Arabidopsis thaliana: one gene and its partner. The protein of the gene in region 1 interacts with the protein of each later gene in a pairwise test. Each region holds a gene or a part of one and is shown on either strand. Other genes may lie near its edges. The genes, in order: AT2G23830 and VAMP721.

Region 1 (4,024 bases):
ATTTGTGTGGATGTTTGTTATCAATGTTATGATGGATCTGTGTGGAGATAGCTTGAAACGTTTCGTGCTTAATGGATTGTATTGGAATGTATAGTGGATTGTTACGGAAATGAAACATTGTCAAGCTTGGCTGCATCTGTTGACGGATTGTAGAATTCGTTTAGGGGAATGAAATGATTTCAAGTTTATGTGATTAATGGTCTGTGATTACTAAATCCTTGAAGATGTGAAGTTTGTCATGTGTTTTACTTTTTTGTGAATCAAGTGAGTTTTTGTTTGCTGATTTAACGATAGAGTTTGTGTGCTGTATCGTTTGGTAAACCATCTTTTTATATCAAATAGACAACTCCAAGAGCTGGATGGATTAAGAGAGATGTGAAAGATCCAGAATCTATAGCGGATCACATGTATCGGATGGGTCTTATGGCTCTAATTTCTTCAGATATCCCCGGTGTTAACAGAGACAAGTAAGTTTCTTGCTTGCTTCTCTCTTTTCAAGTTTCAACTGCTGTGAAAAAACTCTTCTTATATACATACTTTTCTTTCTATAGATGCATGAAAATGGCGATTGTTCATGATATTGCAGAAGGTTAGTTCTTTCACTTTTAGAGATTTTTAATCATCGATTTTCTTAATCACGAGTTATTTAGTCGAGTTGTTGTTGAGCAGCCATTGTAGGAGACATTACACCTTCTTGTGGGATATCTAAAGAAGAGAAAAACCGAAGAGAAAGCGAAGCACTTGAGCACATGTGCAAACTCTTGGGTGGAGGCGAAAGAGGTCTGTTTCTCTTCTATTGTTGAAATACCTTATGTATCTTCGTTCGACCTTCTTATGCTCATTTGTATAACACTTATCATCACTTCTAAAAATGTATATATCGTAATTGCAGCAAAAGAAATCGCTGAGCTTTGGAGAGAATACGAAGAGAACTCTTCACCTGAAGCCAAAGTTGTTAAAGATTTCGATAAAGTTGAGCTGATACTACAAGCTTTGGAATATGAACAAGGTAATGAATGACCAATAAAAGAAACTCTCTTTCGATAAGAGATTTAGCAGAAACTAATACTCATATTGTTTTTTGTTTGCTATTTAACGCAGATCAAGGGAAAGATCTAGAAGAGTTTTTCCAATCAACAGCAGGTAATTTTTGTTGTATGTCATTATACTCTAAATAGATAATCTGAATATGGTTGAAGGCTTTAAGCTTGTTACTGTTTGATTCAGGGAAGTTCCAGACTAATATAGGCAAGGCTTGGGCGTCGGAGATTGTTTCAAGAAGACGAAAGCAACATTAGTTCTCACTTGACTCTTTCTTTTTGTTTCTTAACGTCTAGCTCAGTGGAGTTCAAATACTCGTACGTTTCAAATTTAATCATCTTAAGGTTTTTCTAATAATCTTCGTAGCTGTCTTTACTTGTTTTGTTACTATCACTAATAAAAGATAGCTAGCTAGTGACTATCTTATAGATAGCTAATGAAGATCAAAAAACTTAATCAAGCTCTTAAATTTTATTTTAAGAAAGTATCATTGGTTCCTCAATATAAATTTTCGGATCGTTAATAGAGGTCAAATGATTTTTCTTTGTTTTGTTTTGTTTCAAGATTTTGCACGGGTTAAAAGTTGAATAAGAATAACGAATAGAGTATAGACACTTCATAAAGTGTAGTTTCCCTGCCACACTTAGATCTCCTACTAACCTCACTTAGATTAGATTTCTCTCTAGTCTAAAAGTCTTTAAACCTTTTACCATTGGGTTTCACAAAATTAACATTAGTAGTTATGTCTTTTCTTTTTAAAAACATATTTTAGAATAAACCATATCTCCAACCGAAAACTCCAAACTCTCTCCGACGCTTATCCGCATAGTTCTTTTGTCGATTTTGAGCTTCTTTTATCTTAACCTTTAAGATTTTGATTTTTTCCGATGTTCATGTTATTAACCACAAGTCTACAATTAAATTATTATATTTTTTTAAAAATGATTCTTGCGCGAGAAGCTACTTAGTGGACTCGGAAGGAGAAGGGAAATTGGTAGAGGTTTTAATTTGCAAAACTTATAATAATATAATAGTAGTAGTCGTAACAAATGGTTTAGCTGATTATTCAACATGGAACTTTTCAAAGAATGTTTCAGTTTTAGTTGAACAGACAATTTTTACCCTTGTCGTAACAAGACAAATAACGATTTTTCCGACTCTCTTCATTCGATCTCTCTCCCTCTCCCTCTCTCGATCGGAAAAGTTTGAATCTCCGGCGATCTTCTCAAGATGAGTAACAACGAGCTTCTCGAAATCGAGCCTATGTATCTTCAATTCCCTTGTAAGTTTTTTTTTTGACTTTTTCTTGTTTTCCCTGATTTTGCATGTCTTTCTTGTCCATAACCAGATTTTGTTGAGTTATGGTTTACTATTAAATTTCGCTATTCACTTGGCTGAGTTGATGTAGTTGAATTGAAGAAGCAGATGTCTTGCTCTCTTTACTTGACGAACAAGACAGACAATAACGTGGCCTTTAAGGTAAAACAAAGTTTTCCGAGTCATTAAATTGTCGTGATTATCTCGTGTTTCTAAGGTTTCTCGTGATTCTCTTTATTTTATTTGAGGTTAAGACGACAAATCGGAACAACTATTGCGTTAGGCCTAATTATGGACTTATTCTTCCAAAGTCGACTTGTAAAGTTCTTGGTCCGTTCTCTAATCGTTTTCTTGGGGAAACTTTTTTTCCCCCTTCAACTGCCAAACTTGTTCTTGGACTAGGAATTTGATGAATCTTTATTTGTTGTTTGTCTAGTGACCATGCAAGCTCAAAAGGAAGTTCCTTCTGATATGCAGAGCTTTGAAAAGTTTATGATTCAAAGTGTACTGGCTAGTCCTGGAGTCACAGCCAAAGAAGTTACTCGTGAGATGGTACTGATTCACATTGTTGATTTGATGAATAATTCACACTTTGGCTTTTGGTTCCTTAAAGCATTTGTTTCGTTTTTTTCTGATGAGCAACTTTGCAGTTTAGCAAAGAATCAGGGCATGTAGTTGAGGAGACTAAACTGAGAGTTACTTATGTTTGCTCCACCACGACCAACATCACTAGTTCACCAAGGACTAGAAGAGGGTTTATATTTCAGTGTTTTTGTTAGACATTTTCTCTTTACTTCATTGACGATATTCATCACCAGTAACACTCTTAGCGATGTCTCTTGCTATGGCGTTTGGAGCTGCTTGCCACGAGCTCGTAATAGCGGCTGGTAAAACTCGATTGATTCTGTACAGTAATTTGTTTGTAAAATAATTATGAGACCCAGTTTACTTTGTATATAATGCACTAAAATCTAAACATCACTGACCATCTATATAATCATATCCTTATAGCTCAAACCTTTGAAATTCAAATAAAATAACACATATCTTAGATAGGCGTGGGCATTCGGGTACCCGTTCGGGTTCGGTTCTTTTTTTCCGGGTATCGGGTCTATTCGGGTAAGAGGTTGAGAACCATTCGGGTATTCTAAAAATTCAGTTCGGTTTCGGTTCGGTTTCGGGTCGGTTCGGTTATTTTAGTAAAAATGTAAAAATAACCAAAAATACCCAAAATATTTTTGGGTTCGGGTTGGATTCGGGTTTTTTACTCATATATACCCAAATCTACCCGAAATACCCGATTGCCCGTAAATATATTTGTTACTTTTTATACAAATATAACCAAATGTAAACAAAATACTTAAATTACCTAAAAGAAAACTATAACATTTGTTACTTTTATCCCAAATATATCCAAATGTATATGAATTACTAAAAGAATCTAGTATAATCGGATTTATAATTTTAATTTTGGGTGTTTGAGGTATTACAAATATATATATAACTAATATATTTAGGTTACATTTGTATTCGGGTACCCACGGGTATTAGATTCGGTTCGGGTTCGGTTCGAGTTTTTTCGGGTAGTGAAGTCGAGGACCCATTCAGGTTATTCTAAAAATCGGATTCAGATTCGGTTTGGTTATTTTTCGGGTTTTTCGGTTCG
Region 2 (4,654 bases), on another chromosome or scaffold:
TTGCTAATCTCCTCAGGATGATCCGCACAGTACTGCATGTGCTCCTTCAATTTAGACCTACATTCATTACAACAAAACCATTTAAAACACACATCCACAAAGATGGAATTGAAAAGAAATGCTCTGACTAAAAATGTTAAAAGTACCCGAATTCTTTGTTCAAGCTGTTGGCTTTAGCAGTGGAAGCTTTTCCACCACCGTATCTCTTGTTGAAATCCTCCTTGACTCTCTCCAAGAAAGCCATTGGTATCTGCCTCCCAGCAGATTCAATAACAACAACACAATAGGCTGCATAACAACAGAGGGAAATGAGAAATCTTATTGTCACATTCCAACTAAAGCAAATTCGTGCATTGGACAACCAAAGCTTTCCAAACATAAAAATCTTCACAATAAACATTCCAAAGAAGCCATGCATAAAGCTGATTAAAATCAGAACGAAAACAACAGATTGCATATCCAATCAAGACATGGCATTGATTAGAAGAAAATCTGAATATAACACAATGCCACAAGAATCGAGAGCAACGAATATCCTACGAAATTCAAAGCTACACTGTTCTCGAACATTTGATTTCGAAACTAAGCATTCATAAGAAAACAGATGAACCAAGGCATAAACAGAGAAATACAGAGCAAAATCGACACAGATCGGGAGATAGAGACTTACTGAAGCCATTATCAGCGAGATAATTGAAAGTGTGACCGTCGCAATTGTAGGTAAATTTGTTGTTCGAGGACGGAAGTTTCTGGAGACACTGAGCGGCGACGGAGGTGAAATTGCCCTTGAACTCGGTATACTCGGCGAGGATCACCGTACCGCGAGCGACGAAGCTGTAGATCAACGATTGTTGTCCCATTCTTCCTTTTATCCAGATGAGAGAAAGATAAAAAAACGAAACCTAAGAACACCACAAAAATCCGATCGAATTGATGAGAGAGATTAGTAAGCGATGTAAAAATACACAAGGGAACGAGGGGTAGCGATGGAGAAAGCAGGACGCAGAGATCGGAGAAGAGAAACTATATGAGAGCGCTGGATTTGCGCGAGTAACAGAGACATTATTTTCCCTTTGGTAACGTTCAAATTTTGAATTTTTAAATATAAAAAGTAAATAAAAAGAAAAATTCATCATTTGTATAGTCGAAAATTGCCTTAATAAACTTTATTTTGGTAAATAATTCACGTCTAATTAATAATAGTATCTTCATGTTTTTACACCACGGTGGCTCGTTTTTCAATTCAAATGTGAAATGTTTATCAATGAGCATTTTAAAAAACAAATATATATATATATATATATATTATATATTGATTTTTTATAAAGAAAATTGCGATGTGTAAGGGATATTTGAGTTGTTAAATTTTCTATAAATTATATGTTATGTTACTTAAAAGAACGTTCAATTGATAATGTTGCAAACCTTCCTACCAAAAAAATTAAAATAATGTTGCAAACCTTTTCTTTCATTCCAATTCACTAACCTTCTATTCTAACCACAACCTAACTACCTAAATTTCAATTATTTGATTGTTGATCAAAATCTTTAGGAACACGTTAAACAAATTAATTAGCAGGTTCTAAACAATGCAGAGCAATTGTAGATGACAAGAGATAACGGTAGAAGTTCGAATTTTGTTGCTGTAACAAGATACTATGACTATGAGCTCCCCCCGTCCATTAAGAATTAAGAAATTTGGTTAATTACAACATTTGTTTTTATGTTTAAGCCTTTTGTTCGTAACTGAGCTAATACTGGAATCACTGATCAATGATGAATTTGGAAAAAAAGATATTTTGAGGAAGACAGAGACAGACTCTCTTCGACCATGGGACCTGAACTTGTCCTAAAGTTGGTAATTACTAATTTGTGCCATCGGCAGAGTCCACGAGCTTTTTGGCTGGATCCGGGCGGGTCCAACTTTCTCGACATTTGTTTGATCTCTCCGTTTTGAAATTGTTTTTTTTTAGTCCTTAAATTCAAGGTTTTATACTATTTTTGACCCAATCTGACTACCTTAAATGACAACTTTACCCTTGCCCGCTTTTCAACTTTTTCTTCTCCCATGTCCACTTTAGTCCTCGTTTTGTTCTTTCATAGTCTTCTAGATCTGTAGTTTTTTTCCGCGACCGCCCAAAAAATTCTCTGATCAGACGGTCGATTGGATCGGAGATTTAAGGTAAAGAAAAAATGGCGCAACAATCGTTGATCTACAGTTTCGTAGCTCGCGGCACGGTGATCCTCGTTGAGTTCACTGATTTCAAAGGTAATTTCACCTCAATCGCTGCTCAGTGCCTCCAGAAGCTTCCGTCTTCGAACAACAAGTTCACCTACAACTGCGACGGTCATACCTTCAATTACCTTGTCGAAGATGGATTCAGTAAGTCACTTTTCGTTTGATCTATGCATAGGTTTTAATCTTACACCATTCGGTGCTTACCTCGATTTGTTTCTAGGTTTATTTGCCTAACCTATCGATTCGTATGGATTTGTGCATCCTGAGTAGTCTGATTTCACTGAGGAACCGCATGAACCAAGCTTTTAGGGTTAGATCTATATTTATTAAACGCAATAAATCTCTGTAGAGTCTTACCTGTATAATCACTCAGATTTGGACAGAATCCGTGGTAGCTTTGGTTGATACTATGTGGAAGAACACCAACATTGATCTGAGACAGGGTTTTTACTGGTTGCTTTATTTGCGTATAGTTTCCTAGGTCATGGGTTTTGGCTGGCTTCATTTTTCAATGAAAATCTGGGGTCTTATTGTAAGCTTTTGTGACTATCCTTTAGTTGTTGTAGCCATATCAATTTCATATTAAATCAATGTCACCTGATTATCCCGTAAGGGAAGACAAGGAGATTGATTTTGTTCCTGTTGTACAGCCTATTGTGTTGTTGCGGTTGATTCTGCTGGGAGGCAAATTCCCATGTCCTTTTTGGAAAGAGTAAAAGAAGATTTTAACAAGCGATATGGTGGTGGAAAGGCTGCAACTGCTCAAGCAAACAGCTTGAATAAGGAGTTTGGGTACTTTTTCATTATCTCTTCTATTTGGATGATCTTCTCTTTTATATTCGTGGACTGACTCTTTTTGGTAACTTTGAAGCTCTAAACTGAAAGAGCATATGCAGTATTGCATGGATCATCCTGATGAGATTAGCAAGCTTGCTAAGGTGAAGGCGCAAGTGTCAGAAGTTAAGGGTGTAATGATGGAAAACATTGAGAAGGTTTGAATCTGACCCTTTCTGTCCTCAATGTATATATTTACATCTATGGTTGACCCATCTGAAAGAGCTCATCTAGTCATACTAAGTTACTGTGAAATCAATTACTAATAATTCAATGCATTACATCTTACGGGAAATGTCCAGTTTACCAATGTAACACCGCTTACATATGCGACTCATTATTTGCAGGTTCTTGACCGTGGTGAGAAAATTGAGCTTTTGGTGGACAAAACCGAAAATCTTCGCTCACAGGTTAGACTCTCTCATACCCTTATCTCCTGCATCTATTTGCCTACACTCACACACAAAGATGAACATGCTTTTTGAGTTCATAGCTGACTCATCCTATTACCATATCTTGTGTCTAACTGAACTCAAACTGCCACAGGCACAAGATTTCAGAACAACAGGAACGCAGATGAGAAGAAAGATGTGGCTTCAGAACATGAAGATAAAACTCATAGTGCTCGCCATCATTATCGCACTGATTCTCATCATCGTGCTCTCAGTTTGCCATGGGTTTAAGTGTTAAGCCCAGAAAATTCAAAACTTCTGAGATCTTTCTCACTCGGTACATCGTAGTGCCTTCTCTTTTATTGTTCGATCTTCAATCTAATGTTTCTGCTTGAATTGGTTTTGTATAGATAGACATATATGTATGCTACTCATTTGCTATATTGCTTGCATCTGATGACATTGATCCCTTGCGAACCAGTCAGTACTTGACAAGAGATCCGAAACTATTAAATGATTTTGTTGACTGAAGATTGCATTGTGGTGGTGATGATAAAAATTTGAGATTGTATTGACGATTATACGGCGTGATGTGTGCTGGTTACTTTAAATTTAGATAAGAGTAGTGCCCTCTCTATATCGTTACTAGGGATGGTAGTACATATATATACGTACGTCATATTCCGACCACCAAGGTTGTTTTGTTCAAACTCCTCCCGCAACGCTTGAGTAGATCTTGTCGGCCATCGGGTCGTTTATGAGTTCAAACATACGTGTTTACTCTGCTATCAGTAGGAGCAACCAATACAGAGTTTAGTAGTACATACAGAAGCATCTTGTCAAGAAACAACAATCTGTAGTCACAATGGTATAAATATTTGGGCTATTTTAGTTAAGTGGGCCGAATATTTAATGGGCCGTAAAACCTAATTTGAGATCCTGCAACCAAAACTTTCCCGCTAAAACACTCTCATTCCCGCTCAAGCTCACACCAGATTCCGATTTTCACTTTTGTTCACCGAGCACCAAATCCCAACAAAATTCCGATACGGTCAATCATATCAGAGAATGGAATTCGATATCCCATTGCCGGAGGAGCTTGAGCTTCTAGAAGCCAATTCTCATTTCTACGAAGAAGAAGATGAGTACCTAAACTTTGAGGAGCCGCCATATCCTTACCCAATCGACG

Evidence for each region.
Region 2: the proteins of AT2G23830 (region 1) and VAMP721 interact in a two-hybrid assay, tested with the Arabidopsis thaliana proteins (one study listed by BioGRID).

What each region holds. Positions count from the first base shown.
Region 1 is NC_003071.7:10,141,375-10,145,398, forward strand, and holds AT2G23830 (PapD-like superfamily protein), read left to right. Parts: upstream 1-2,093; 5' UTR 2,094-2,271; coding exon 2,272-2,323; intron 2,324-2,449; coding exon 2,450-2,520; intron 2,521-2,606; coding exon 2,607-2,688; intron 2,689-2,794; coding exon 2,795-2,910; intron 2,911-3,008; coding exon 3,009-3,137; 3' UTR 3,138-3,340; downstream 3,341-4,024. Other genes in the region: AT2G23820 (Metal-dependent phosphohydrolase), read left to right, coding at 343-467, 552-589, 670-780, 893-1,009, 1,102-1,143, 1,228-1,298. UniProt on the Arabidopsis thaliana protein: May play a role in vesicle trafficking.
Region 2 is NC_003070.9:1,330,966-1,335,619, reverse strand, and holds VAMP721 (vesicle-associated membrane protein 721), read left to right. Parts: upstream 1-1,968; 5' UTR 1,969-2,193; coding exon 2,194-2,383; exon of another isoform or gene 2,384-2,889; coding exon 2,890-3,031; intron 3,032-3,110; coding exon 3,111-3,231; intron 3,232-3,420; coding exon 3,421-3,483; intron 3,484-3,619; coding exon 3,620-3,763; 3' UTR 3,764-4,154; downstream 4,155-4,654. Other genes in the region: VAMP726 (vesicle-associated membrane protein 726), read right to left, coding at 1-57, 147-288, 671-860; CTF18 (P-loop containing nucleoside triphosphate hydrolases superfamily protein), read left to right, coding at 4,534-4,654. UniProt on the Arabidopsis thaliana protein: Involved in the targeting and/or fusion of transport vesicles to their target membrane.